Astyanax mexicanus: one gene and its partner. The protein of the gene in region 1 purifies or fractionates together with the protein of each later gene. This does not show direct contact. Links are inferred from orthologs where the notes say so. Each region holds a gene or a part of one and is shown in the gene's direction. Other genes may lie near its edges.

Region 1 (7,248 bases):
TGTAAAATTGCTGAAGTGGAAACAGCTCTTATAAATAAATTAACAAACACGAAAGCGAAGAGTATTCTATCTGTAATTTCAGTTCCTTTTAGTTAGTTTTATAAACACAAAACACATTTTCAATTAGTTATGTTTTTTTCTTTTAATTACTGTTTTTCTTAGTTTTAGTTAACAAAAATGTTTTTTTCACTTTTAGCTTTTTTCGTTTGTTTTCGTTAACAATAATACTTGATTACTTTGCTATATTGTGATTATCACTCCATAGCTTTATATAAAATAAAAATAGCATTCAAAGCAGATGCCTATGTCACAGACTATTTTCTGGAACCCGACCTGACCTGGACCGAGGCAAGTGGTGGGAAATCTCAGTTCGGGCAGAGAATCTAAGCTCTACCTCACACCAAGCTTCTCCCTCCACCCATCCTCACACTCTTCTATAGAGGGACCATTGAGAGCATCCTGAGCAGCTGCATCACTGCCTGGTTTGGGACCTGCACCGTCTCTGACCGCAAGACCCTCCAGCGTATTGTGAGGACAGCTGAGAGGATCACCGGCGTCTCTCTCCCCTCCATCACGGACATTTACACCACCCGCAGCATCCGCAAAGCAACCAGCATTGTGAATGACCCCACCCATCCTTCACACAGACTGTTCTCCCTCCTGCCTTCGGGAAGAAGGTACCGCAGCATCCGGTCCAGCACGACCAGATTCTGCAACAGCTTCTACCCCCAAGCCATCAGACTCCTCAACTGCAGAGACTGAACTGATGGTTTTTCTGTACATGCACACACACTCTTACCCCACTTACCCCAGAAAATGGAAAGCACTAAAAACCCTACTACCTCACTGGACTCTATTGCACACTGTGTAATAGAGGTAATTACTACCTCACTGGTCTTTTTTGCACACTTTTTGCACACTGCATAATTTGCACACTGTCTTGTTATTTATTATTCTTTGTTTGTATTGTGTTGTATTGTCTGTCTGCACTTTTGTACTGTTGCACTATTTCTGTCTACACTGTGTTTATGTGCACCATGGTCCCTGGAGGAACGTTGTTTCGTTTCACTGTGTACTCTGTATATAGCTGAAATGACAATAAAAACCACTTTGACCACTTTGACTTTGACTTTGACTTTTTCAGACCAAACTCTGTCAGACCAAAAAGCCTTGGACAAAACTCCCACAGAACAAACTCTCTTAAATCAAACTCAATCAGACCAAACTCCATTGGATCATATAGCCTTGGATTTTTTCTTGAACTGATTTTCCTGAGGCCTCAATTTCCTATCAGAAGTGTCATATGTATGTGATAGGTTGAGCTTAATGTGGCGGGGGAGCGAGCGGTAGGACTTAATAAAAATAATTAATTTACCTAAACTATGTAAATACCTTAGTTACCCTTACACCAGTGCAGCCAACTACGCCACTTTGGGAATTGCACCCAAAGAAATTTAACACTTCAGGTTCGTGGGTACCAGAAAGTACAAAGACAAGGATTTCAATTAACCAAAAAGATTTTATTAATCAAAATAGGCTTATAAAAAATAAAATAAAACAATAGATAGATAGACAGATAGATAGACAGATAGATAGACAGATAGATAGACAGATAGATAGACAGATACACACGGCTGCAAAACAGAGAAAATTTTAATATTAATATCACCAGAACCACTCAATGCTCAAAAACACATTAAAATCAACCACAGGTCATTTGAGTTAAGAAATTACAAAGAAGCTCATTTTAATTGTTGTAGGGCTGAAGCTCACCAGGTGGGGGCCAAAATTTAACTAAAAAAAAATATCAAAATCACAACAAAAGTCACCCGTGCCAGAAAATAAATCAAATCCCAACCAGTAAAGCAAAGTGAAAATAATACTTAAATCTCCCCTCCTGGATCCCTCATGCACCTACTCCACAACTACCAAATAAAATCAGAAATATAAAAAGGACCACAATACAATGGCTCAAAATACAGTTTAGATTGGATTAACTATTGCACACAGCAAACAATTTACAGAGGAAGCATCAGTGCACAAAAATAACAATGCATACACCACAGGTGTAATATAGTTGCACTGATAGTAGACGGAGTTTTATAAACAAATAGTAAGTAAGTAAGAGTAGAGCTTTTCAGCTATAAAACAGTGTGCATGAGCACAAGCTGCAGTCCGATAATTCAGCACAGAATGATATAGGTTCCCACCACAGTTAGCAACACACTTAAGAGAATAAAAGTGTCTTAGAGCTTCATTAAACTTCGCTGGAGGCAAAACGGCAGCTTATTTCACCGTTACAGGATGCTATCTTCATGCAACAGCCAGTAATCACACCAGATCGGCTGGACCCGCTAAATTAAAAACACAGAAGGCATAAATATAAAGTTTAAACCCATTTTACTACCCCCTGACTAGATAAGCGGTTCGTATACTTACAGAGCTGATGAAAATGCCGTCAGGCAGCGTTACAATTGGTCAGACGCCAACAATTCCCACTGAGGAGTTAAACTGAAACCAAAACAAACAGTAACTCACGGGTACAGCGCTATACTACCAAATTACGCTGCATATACGGAGCATTTACCTGAGAACTGGGATAAGCCAGACTCGAGTGCAGTTTCAGAGGATGAGACAGCAACAAAACGCTCTAAATAAAACAAATAAATTAACTAAACGCCGACTTACACGTGCGTTTCTCCCTCACACACAAAGCCAAACATACCTCTGAGCCACGCGGTGAAGCGGAAGGGGGAGGGGGGAACCCAAGGCAGACGCTGCAGCATGCAAAAAGAAGCCCTTTTATAGGAGCCCCAAATAACTAACTCACATCAACCACCCGGTAATCATAATTCTAAAATATTTAAATTAATACTACCAAACATTAACAAAAAAAGGTACCCCCAAATTATTATTATTATTATTATTATTATTATTATTATTATTATTATTATTATTATTAGAAATAATTAGTCCTGCCACATTAAGCTTATATTAAACAGTCAGAAGTCCAACACCTTGTAGTGAAACTGGCTCTGGTACTGTCACCACTGATTCACAGAAGTTATGCGGTGACTACAGCGCCCCCTCTGCAATCCTGGCTTCATAAGAGTGTTTGTACTGACTGAAATCACCCATGTGGTTCCTTACATGCCTAACATGAAGTGGCACAAATAAAATAAATATGATAACCTGGTGCTTAAACGTTCCCTTGGATTCAGCTCCACTGCTGTGGAAGCTCACCTCTCCACTGTATGTGATGCGACAATAAATCTGATTTGATTTGATTTATGTATGATTTATTGTATAATTAATATAATTAATGCCTATATAGTTTTTCATGAGAATATTTCTAAATGTATTTTGATGTATGTATTTATTTGTTTATTTATTCTTTTTCACTCATTTATTTCTGCTTTTTTTCCTCCATATGATAATTAAGGGGCGTGTTTTTCATGTTCAGTCTTAGCAATCAACATCAGAGAGAGGGAGAAGATGAGTAGAAGAATCCGGGAGCTCAAATGTGGGCGGCGAAGCTGCTCGCCTCAATGAAATTGCAGTATTGCAGTACTGCAATCTAAAGGATCGCTATTAAATAATCGTTCTATTATTTAATTCACCAAATAGCCATGTTTAGAAGAAGTTCTCAAGTGCTGCTAGGCAAATACAAGTAAATTATAAACTGAATTAGTTTTATGGAAGATCAAAGGAACTTGGTAAACTCTGGTCTTTCTAGGAATTTTTGTCATTAATTTATAAGTAGTCCGACAAGAGGAAGATGTGTCCCCCTTATGAGTCTTTGTTCCTCCCAAGTTTTTTTCTCCCATCTCTAAGGGAGTTATCCGTGTCACTGTTAGTCACTGGGGCTTCTATGTTGTATGTTTTATGTTTAGCTTGGTTCTTCATTCTGCTACTGGTATGTTTGAATATATGCATGGTTTTGTATGGGAGGAGACGCGTGGTTTTGTTGCACCTGTATTCAGACAAATCCCGCCTTCCATCACTGTGATTAGCTGAAATTGTCGGCGGGTCGCTCTGAGTCTGAATAAGTGACCAATCCGAACGAAGGATGGGCGGTGCGGTTCCTGAATACGGGTGTGAATGGAAAAATCCCCCTGTACAGAAAAGCGGCGGAGTGTTGAGTTTCATTCTCAGAGCTGAAGCGACTGCAGAGTGAAACACGTGGAACCAGCCTGAGCACACTGCAGACTTTACAGCAGTTTATTCGGGTTTTTTCGTGTTTCGACGAAACACCACGCAGTCATGGTGAAGCTGGCGAAGGTGAGTGTTATAACTAGTATTCTAATTTAATTTAATATGTATGTAAATATAGTATTGTTGTTTCTGGTAGCTAACCATAATAAAACGTGGTGAATAAATGAGGTACTCAGTTTGGCGTATCATAACTAACTAGTTATCTGACTTATCCAGCTAACCCAACTAACATCTTATTCAAGCGCTTATTAATTAACTAGCTAAGCTTTTTACCTTAAATATGATGTAGGGTTGTTTATCGGTGATATGTAAGAATAGAATGTGCGTGGTGTATATTTTAAAATGGGTGCTTGATAAATCTTGTAGTTACAGTGTGCAAAATGGAGGCTGGAGGGCTGAAATGGCCTTCCCCTCAGTCTGCTGTTAACTCACGTTTTTATCATTAGCAATTTAATTCTCATATTTGGGGCTTTTGGTTTTATATGGGTAGCTATAGAAAGGTTTTTAATACTGTTTAACAGCGTCTGTAATGTGTGTTAATCTAGTTTAATAGCATATACAGCCTTTAGCTACAGTGTGGCGGAGCTGCACGCAGCTGTGCTGAGATTAGTTAGCTTAGTTTAGCAAGGCGAGCTAAACTGAAAGACGCCAGCTAGCATTAGCCACGTGCTAGCCGCAGATTACCCGTGTTTATCTATTTTATTCTTGCTTATTTGGGACGCAATTTATATAAGATTAAGAGCAATAAATTATATATAAAAAACAAGAGTAAAATTCCTAATCTAGTTTTCCTGGAAATTCGTTAAGCTAGGTAACTAGTTGGTGTATTCGAAAACGTGCAGAATACAGTTAGCTTTTCACAGCGTAGCATAGCCGTCCAGGAAAGGCCGCATTGAGTTAGCCAAGCTAGGCTAATTTAGCTGTAGCACTTGGGTTAGCTTAGCATCGTTAGCTTCAGCACGAGGCCGCGCGCTGGCGCTCCCCACGTGGGTTCGTCCTCCTCACACGTGGCTTTTAGACCCGTCCATTCTGCTTATTAGCGAGTCTTGAGCTTAGTTTTTGGACTAAATAAGGTCGTAGTTATTGTTCTTGCTTATAATAAAGCTAGATAAGCTATATATTTACTTTACATGCACGCTTATATATATTTTTAAGTTGTTTTTCTGTCTGTCCAGGATCTAGCTACCTATAAAAATAATTAGTTAACTGGTCCTGTACTAAAGTAGCCCTGCTTCAGTGACCCATTTTGTCGCCCTTTGTGTAAAATGTAAAAAAATATATATGAACAAGGACGTTATTGTACATTTAAGGACGATTCCTATCATTATTCTCATTTAAACTATGGGGCAAAGTATGTATATATAAAAGAATGAATAAATAAAAGCACAGTGATCCTCATTTTCTACAGAAGCTGAATAAGATTGTTTCTGTTACAAGTTGGACCAACATCAGCAGATGACATGGCTCACCAAACCATAACTGACACATATTTGAAAATCAAGGGTCCAGAGTCTGAAGGAGGTGTGGAGAGGCGCACAGTCCAAGCTACTTGAGGTCTGGTGTGAAGTTTACACAATAAGTGATTGTTTTGAGAGCCATGTCATCTGCTGGTGTTTGTCGACTGTTATATCAAGTCCAAAATCAGTGCAGAATGAAATATAAATGTATGGGGTGAAGTATGTATTAAAAGAATGAATGAATGAATGAATGCATAAAACAGCACAGTGTGATCCTCGTTTTCTACAGAAACTGTATAAGATAACTTTTTATTAAATGAGTAACATTTTAAGATTAAATCAATTATGTCAATACCAACAAAGTATAGGCTTCAAGTCTTATTTTCTACACACATTTAAGTTACTTTACTTTTATTTTAGAGCACATGTCCTTGTACCCTTCTTGATTTAGACAGCAATTCCTCATTCTCAGCAGGAACATAAATGACACTTCTGCATGTTTTGGGGCACATCTTTTAGTCTCGCATAGTATAGTAAATCTTCTTTTCCTTCACAGGAACATGACTGTCTTTTTATGTGTTTCAGCACGATTCATAGTAAATGTTTTTGCGATATGTTTTTGCGATAATGACCTTCTTAGCAGTGTGACAAAACGTTGCCTTTTTAAATATTCGTTTATGAATATGCTGCTACAACCAAACAAATATCAAAACATAATTTGTTATACATATAATAATTTCTCATTCAGTAGGAACCAAAAAAAAACTATAAATGTCTATTTTGTAAAAACACACAACAAATGTTTCACAAAACAAAAGCAGTATATTTGGTTCATGTAAACTGCTAACAATTAAGTTAATACAGAAAAAAACTAATATAAAATGGAGTGCTTTTTAAAAATATTGATATGATGGTGCACACTTCTAATTTCTAATCCTTTAGTAAAGTTACCACTTTAAATAGGTGATTTTACTGAATCTCATTTTTACTCACTTCCTCATCTTTTCTGCACAATTTTGTATTTTTTTTGGCACTTTGATTAACCTTTTCTTCCATGTGCCTCCATTCCATAATGTTTTGCAGGCAGCTAAAAAAGAAGTGCCACAGAAGAAAAAGGCACCCCCACCCCCAAAAGAAGTTGAAGAGTCCAGTGAGGAGGAGGACAGTGATGAAGATGAGGAAGAGGTAAGGTCTTATTTTTAAGTTACTTTTTGTTTAAATATTTTTTATTGGCTTGATTATTATTATTTATTATTATTATTATTATTATTATTATATTTTAATTTTATTTTTTTTGCTACAGGCACCACCAGTCAAAGCAGTTGCCAAGAAACCTGTAGCAACTCCAGCAAAGGCAGTAAAAAACGGTAAAGTTGTTGCCAAGGAAGAAAGTGAGGATGATGATGACGACGACGAAGATGATGATGATGATGATGATGAAGAGTCTGGTTAGTGTTTTTACGTGAATGATTGATTTGCTTAACGATACTTGCATGATTGTAAGAAATTATCCAGTAATCTCTGCAGAAGCGTAAAGTTTGTCATCATTTGTGCTAATGCTATATATATATATATA
Region 2 (7,834 bases), on another chromosome or scaffold:
TTAAAAACGAGACAACAATCCTACAAAAAGTCTATACATTGTTTTCATAAACATTCCTATCTTCAGTAGGAATGGGCGAAATTGACAACAAGTATATTATAATAAATATTTCTTAATGTTAAATGCTAAATTGCAATTCCAATATCACTATAAACAAACAAAAAAAATCATTTGAAATTGTAATGTGCCCTGTAATGAGCATCAATTCATGACTATATGCAGTAAAAATGCATACTGAAATATCGGAAATGTTTTTACAAATCATATCACCTTTATTGAAATATTTGATATTGTGATATATACTGATATTAAATCATTGTACAGCCAAATTGTACAGTAGTTTTTTACTAAAACCATCAAATCTCTTAAACACCCCCCTTCGCAATAAGTCCAGTGCAAGTTTTCAAGCTAACAGCTGAAATGAAAATATTCACCTTAAACTGTTCTGTTTTACATGACATTGTTTATCTATAGCAAGTTAAGATTTATCTTGCTTAAATCTGTATTTTCGGAAAGCTAATGAGGCAAAAAAACGAAGCCCACTTTCTATTTATTACACTCAAAGAAGCTTACAAAGCACTTTACAGGAGATCGATGTGAGATATGACAAACAAACAAATAGAGGTAAATATTAATGCACCAAATACTGGCAACCAAAACTAAAACTAAAAGTACTGAATAATTTATAGCAAACAATAGCTCATTTATTGTAGGTCATATTGCAGTGTTTCCTTTAGATTGCTTTACTTTCAGAAAAGACATCAAAGTGTCTCTGCTAGGATGTTAAAGCGTTTTAATTATCTTTTTTCTGAAAAGTATCTATAAAATAAATTTAGCCTTTTGAGAATAGTGGCAAAACATATACATATAAACCTATAAAAAGGGAATTAGGTATTTTGTTCAATTTCAGACATGTTCAGGCAGACAAATTTCCATTACAGTGCATCATTAGTGGCAATAAAGCATGTACCCAAAAACATACAAGATTGTAGGATCTGGTAATCCTCTTTTTAAAAAAATGGAATAGAGAAAAAATAGAATGGCTTGTGGTTTTCAAGTACTGAACTAAAACTCTGTTTTCTCCAAAATTATGATGGGTAACATTTTAACTTTAAACAATGAACTATAATCCATACATGATTGCATATTTACCATAGATAAATAAAACCAAAGCTCTCTCTCCTAACTTCTAAATCACTGACCTTCATCATTTCCTCTTGTATCTCCTCCTTCTTCATGTCTTTTGGAATGGACCCAATGAAGAGCCGACAGTTGTTTAGACTCACACACACTCCTATAAACTTCCCGGGACGGATCTCATAGTGGTCAAGCAGATAAATGGCTTGCTGCGCAGCTTCTGGAGTGGTGTACCTGACAAAGGCATAGCCACGGTTTTCCCCGCTAAACTCCATCATCAAGCGGAACTCATAGATACAACCTGCACGTTCAAACAAAGGCACCAGCTCGTCTTCATACATGTCCCTGGGAATTTTCCCCACAAAAATCTCACAGCCTCTCGGAGGAGGGGGACCTTCCCAGTCTAGAACACAGAATCATATTTTTGTTCATATGAGACATTTGAATAGTAAAAAATATTTTAGGAATGTTATACATATTAATATATTGCATTTGAAAGCAAAGGCTAGTAACTCAACATTTAACCACAGGTGCAAACGAGCTAACTCCTGTTCTTAATCCCACATCAAGAGGTTTTATTTATTTATTTTTATTTTTTAGGTTACTAAAAATCATTAAATTCTTACCTGGTGGTGGACCCCCAAATTTCCGTTGACCATTTTCTTGAACCATACCGTAACCTGTTTTATCCATTAGGGCCAGAAGATTAGCTATCTTTGGGCTTTCCATCTTAATGTCTTGGTGAAGATGACAAACACAGCCTTCTTCCCCTAGCACCTTAGAAAATACAACAGAAACGTCAATTAAGTACACACAGTACTTAAGCACTCATAATCATTTTTAATAGTTTAATATCAAATAGGTAAACATCCATTTAAGAACCAACAATACAAATAAACTATAATAAGAGTTATGAGTTCTTACAGTTTTAACAAACCTACATCTGATTAAATATAATCAAATAACCATAATGACAGACAATATTAAACTGTATCGGCAAGGTAAGAGCTTTGTTTCATAGATTCTGAAATTACTTTTCAACTTTATAAATGTCAATGCATTATACAAACATGTATTCATTTAATACAACTATCTAGATCCTTTGTAAAACAGATATTTGTTAACTCAAATCAAGTACCCAGCTTATTTTTCCTTTTAATTAAGTAGATGACATAAAAATGGATATGTAAATAACTGTAGCTGTGGTATCTTATTATTTATCTGATTTATCTGATGTAGTCATGGCTAAAGTTAATTCCACATTAGTAATACCTAATAAATACTCCTGTACAAAGTAAATTTAACATGCTGTGGAAAAATAAAGTTTACCACCCTTGTCAGTATATAAAAAACATTAAAATCAATTTTTTTAATAGGATGATGCATTAAGCAATTGATAATCACAAGCCATCTGAACTGCTTGAGAGGAGAACATGCCAAGATGCATGAAAACTGTAATTAAAAACCAGGGTTATTCGCCAAATATTGATTTCTGAACTCTTTTTCTTTGCATTTTTGGGGTCTAAAAGCTCTGCATCTTTTTTTGTTATTTCAGGCATTTCGCATTTTCTGCAAATAAATGCTATAATTTTTTTTTTATTTGGAATTTGGGAGAAATGTTGTCCGTAGTTTATATAATAAAATAATGAGCTATAATAATAACTTATATATATATTTTAGTTGGAAGCATAACAGTCATGGCCTTCCTTTAAACTCACTTTTACTAAGTAAAAACTGGCTCATCTAACCCCACTCTCCCTTAGACATGTTTAAATCCACCAATTATTTCATAAAATTGACTAAAAAATGTTCAGCAGTGTCGCCCTTAGCCGCCAAGCACCGCTGTTGGCTAAGCTGAGGTAATTTAGCAACGCTAGCTAGCTAGGCTAACGCTCGTTCACTAGGTAACCTAAAGCTAACCAGCCTAGCCAGTTCTCCTAACTAGTTAGCCAGCTAACGTCAGGCACTAGGTAACCTACCTGATCACCTAGCTAACTATAATATTCAGAAATACGACACCACAGGTTATCCAACTCACCAAGAAACATAAATTCAGGCAGTTAGGAGATTATAGATACCCAATAAAATGTTCTTTATTTGAAACAATATTAGCTAAGCCACTTAATGATTTTGATGATCAGTTTAGCGAACCTAGCATTAGTTTTTTAGCTTTTAGCTATAAAAAAAACTTTATAGAAAAAAGTAGGCGGCGCAGAAATTCGCCTTTTTCCCTAAACAAGTAGCTAATTATTATTTTTTGGTTATTTGGTAGCTAACTAGTAATCTGGGCTACCTGTTCTCCAGTTTCTGTAGGTTTAAAGCTGAGATCCCCCTGGTAACTATAAACCTTAACTAACTAAAGTCCTCCAGATCAGCCAGCAAATCAGGTTCAACTAAATTAACTGAATATTAAAACCAGCGGCACACCTGCAGTCTTACCAACACATATTACATGCTTATATACGTTTATATTCTAATATTATAGCCTGTACTGTGTTCTTGCATTGTAGAAATAATAATAATAATAATAATAATAATAATAATAATAATAATAATAATAATAATAATAATAATAATAATTGTTTACATGTTCTAAACGTTTAATTATAGGAATATCAGATTATTCTATTCTATTATAGTATTTTTACTATAGATATTATAGATATCTGTAACTGTATTTCTAGTATTTTTTTTTCTAGTAAATAATGAATAATAATTAAATGTAGTAATATGTCTAGCATAAAGCTCTGAGACCATGTAAATTAATTGTAACATAAAGTATAACTAGTAAGAATAAATGTATAGATCCATAGATATGATATTATCACTAGTAAAACATTTAAAGCTGATATCTCAAATAAGAGTTTTTACAGTAATGTATACTGAGCTTGTACATCAAATTATAGAAATTATAATAATTAACTAGTCTAAAAAAATGTGACTAGAAACTAAAAGTTTAAATAGTTTCTATTTTAAATAAGACTTTTAGCAATCTAGCTTCATTCATATGGAGCTTAAAGGATGACATAATTCACGTCTAAATTTTGTATATCTGAATTTGGTTTACTTGACCTTTAATCAACGTGAAATATTTATTTTTATTTTTAAAATTTAAGATCTATCTGATTCAAAATTCAGAATTAAGAATTTAATCCATAGCTCAAACACCCAGGGTCCCCAGGAAAAAGTAAACTTGAGTGACTGAGATTTCAATTAGAAAAAAAAATAAAAGTGGATCTTTTTAAAATCAGAAAAAAAAACTGATTTTTTTTATCTGAAAATGTATGGATATAGATTTTTTTAAATTATTCAATAATTAATTAATTAATTCACATTGTTTTTTTTTTCAACAGCAAATTTTACCTCCTCAGAAGTTAGTTTAAAACACAAAAATCTAATCAAAAACAAAAATTCAAATATGTGAATCCATCTTGGTAAATGTTAAGTAAATTGAATTTAGATATAGCTTCAAAATTCAGATTGAAAAGTTTATATCAGTTTTAATCTCATAAATTAATTCACTCTATTTAATATGGGTTCTCTATCGCGGGCTTCCTCTAGTGGCTCGCAGCCTTTTACTGATCTAGCCAGGAATTTTTACTGCGCATGCGTACTATGTTTCTCATTACAAAGTGGAGCTGTACTGCGCATGTCTGGCCCGCTGACGACGCTGCGCCCTGCACCGCAGCGCTGAGATTAGCGACCTTTCTCAGCTATTTTGTGTTAATTTTCCGCTCTGTGTTTCAGCAAGATACCTGCTGAGGAGGTGAGTTATCCGGCGGAACTAGTTCTGACTGCGTGTTGAGTATTGCCAGCACCGTAAACAGTACAGTACACTCCGTCTGTCTGCACTGTGTTCTGTGGTTAGCTTTAGCTCTTTAGCAAGCGCTGTTCTTTCTTATACAGTTACCTAGCTAGTGTTAGTTAATGATGTTTTTATTGTTTATTTACTGGTGGTCCTGCAAGTATTAGTTAACCTATATTGCGCGACTTCATCATCGTGCTATTTCTGCAGTTAGTACAGTACAGTGCTGTGGTTTTGAGTTATATACTGCTATTATGTTAGCCGGTGTTTTGTCGAGTTCTTTTACCCATCAAAATGTGTTACTTTCTGTTCTGCGCATACATCGATTTAGAAATGTTAACGTTTTTATGTGAGTTTTTTTTCAAGACAATTTCTCCTGATAAGTGATTTAAATCATTTTTTGTGATTTTTGTTTAGCCAATGGAAGTATCCTTCATTTGGGCAGCTTTACCCTAAATCGACAGAACACCATTAATCTTACTAGCTAGTTAACTAGCTAAGCTAGCAAACCCAAACGTATCTGGCTGAGATGTTCTAGCTACGCTAGGCTAGCTAACGTAGTTAACCTAACGTTAGCTGGTTAAGACCTAGCTAAAAGTTTCGAGACCTTTTCTCATTCAGTTCGTTTTTTTTTTTTGTACATTGAAAAATTAATATTAAAAACTGTATTAAAGCTATACTGGAACGCCTGCAAAATTATTTTGTAAACAAATAGTGTTAAACAACTATAAAATGTTTTATACTTTAGATTCTCCTAAGTATCAAATTTATGATTTATTTTTTATTTATAAAATTTAAGACAGATCTGCACACTCTTGGAATTTTAATCTCAGCTACTTCATGAGGGAGAGTCATCTGGAATAGTTTTTTTTAGCGTCTTAAAGGAGTTCCTAGAGGTGCTGAACAATAGTTGCTGCACAATAGTTGCTGCTTTTCCTTCACGCTGGCTGTGAAGCTCCAGCTCATCCCAAATCACCTCAAATCACCATCTCAGTTCATCAGGTTTTGGTCAGGGGATTGTGGAAGACACGTTTTTTAATTACTTCGTAATTCCATATATGTCCCTTAAATGTTTTCATGTATTTAATATTAATCTACAATGTAAAAAATAAATGAAATACAGAAGTAAAGAAAAACATTGTATGATAACATGTCCAAACTTTTGGTATCTTTCCACAAACTTCTGTAATGTCACAACATTTACTATTTGTTTATTTGAGTTGCATTTGTTTTTCCAGAAGATCTTGTATTGATGATAAGAGATTGGGACCACTGCATAACCACGGTTGTTCAACAAATAAGAACCTACTGACATAATCACCCATGTAGTAATTATCCATTGGGAAGTTCCTACCTATTTGTAGGAGGTGTCATTTATTTTTTTCCAGACAGCATAGTTTATCTAAGTTTTGTGAATGATATCTAAAATGATATCTTTTGTATGTTTCCAGGGGGACTCTCAACAATGGCAGACATCAAAAACTATCTGTATGCCTGGTGCGGAAAGAAAAAATTAACACCAAACTATGACATACGAGCAGCTGGGAATAAAAACAGACAAAAGTTCCTGTGTGAGGTAAACTACACGATACCTGTTACACATTGACTGTTATAGCAACTCTGTACTTAATACTTATTATGTCTATTCTCTTGCAGGCCTGTCACCATAATTATATTGTGAATTATATTGTCTCAGAAATAATTGTTAAACTATAAAAAGCATTTTATGCTACGGACATAATGATAATGTAATGAGATTACACGTTTAGAATGTTTCAAAGATCAACATTTTTTTTTTCTCTTTTTTTTGTGCCTCATTTAGGTACGTGTTGATGGTTTTAATTACACTGGAATGGGAAACTCCACCAACAAGAAAGATGCCCAGTCTAATGCTGCCAGGGACTTTGTGAATTATCTTGTCCGTATTGGTGAGATGAGTGCTTCTGAAGTCCCTGCTTTAGGGGTAAGTATGATTTTGTTAACCATGTCAGTTTGTGCTGGACAGTATACTGGTTTGCCGATATGCGCTTTTTACATACCACTAGGCACTGGCAAAAAAGCAGATACGACCCGCTAACTAACCTAGCCAGTTAGCATAACAAGCTAACACACTGGGTTAATGGTAGCTCAGCTCTGTCGAGTCAAACGCTCTGTCCTCTCTGGAAAAACATGAGAACAGCACTTTATCTAAGGAGCTCCTGTTGCTGTTCCTTGCAATAGCAGTGTTTTTGTCTGAGTAAAATAAGAAAACAACAGCAAACAGCAATTATTTACTCAAAAAAGAGAGGAATGGAATTGAGCAACCGATCCACAGCTTGGAAAAAAGTTTCTCTCGTCCCCCAGAGGAGCCCAAAATCGGTTGTGGGTACAGAATAATTTATTCAGCACAAGTGATAAAACTCCCTAAAACTTTGGATATGAGGTGGAAAAAAAAGCTTCAAGAACTGTTAATATAGCCATTTTAAATATAATAATACTGCAGCTTGAAGAATGATGATAATGTACACAGAATTTAATTTATTTGTTAAATCGTCAGAATCTTGAAAAATACTGTGATATACATTTTTGGTCATACAGCCAAGCACTAATGTCGGTGTTACTGCTGAATATTTGCATTAATAAAGTTGAAATAAATGTTGTCATTACACTTGGCAATGTAAAATAACTTAAAAATTGGCAAAAAAATTGCATTTGTAAATGCTGTTAAGACTATATAGGTGTCTCAATTCCTATTCTTTAATATATTTATATATTTTGATGTCATCCCTCCTGTTACCAGGCCAGTGTTCCAGATGTACCTGATTGCAGCAGTTCAGAAGGTGGTGGGTTTGGAAGTCTCCCACCAAATGGCCCCTTACCACCACATTTAGTTGTGAAGAACGAGTCAGGTAT

The links. Proteins that work in one complex are often made in the same cells at the same time.
Region 2: the proteins of ncl (region 1) and dhx9 purify together in Homo sapiens (affinity purification with western blotting; 3 studies listed by BioGRID, with this or other methods). This does not show direct contact. The link is inferred for Astyanax mexicanus from reciprocal best matches to the Homo sapiens genes NCL and DHX9.

The regions. Positions count from the first base shown.
Region 1 is NC_064423.1:26,065,047-26,072,294, forward strand, and holds the start of ncl (nucleolin), read left to right. Parts: upstream 1-4,137; 5' UTR 4,138-4,263; coding exon 4,264-4,281; intron 4,282-6,755; coding exon 6,756-6,857; intron 6,858-6,975; coding exon 6,976-7,120; intron 7,121-7,248. UniProt on the Homo sapiens protein: Nucleolin is the major nucleolar protein of growing eukaryotic cells. It is found associated with intranucleolar chromatin and pre-ribosomal particles. It induces chromatin decondensation by binding to histone H1.
Region 2 is NC_064415.1:50,994,915-51,002,748, forward strand, and holds the start of dhx9 (ATP-dependent RNA helicase A), read left to right. Parts: upstream 1-4,756; 5' UTR 4,757-4,903; intron 4,904-6,393; 5' UTR 6,394-6,407; coding exon 6,408-6,518; intron 6,519-6,764; coding exon 6,765-6,905; intron 6,906-7,721; coding exon 7,722-7,830; intron 7,831-7,834. Other genes in the region: probable RNA-binding protein 46, read right to left, coding at 1,203-1,540, 1,764-1,866. UniProt on the Homo sapiens protein: Multifunctional ATP-dependent nucleic acid helicase that unwinds DNA and RNA in a 3' to 5' direction and that plays important roles in many processes, such as DNA replication, transcriptional activation, post-transcriptional RNA regulation, mRNA translation and RNA-mediated gene silencing.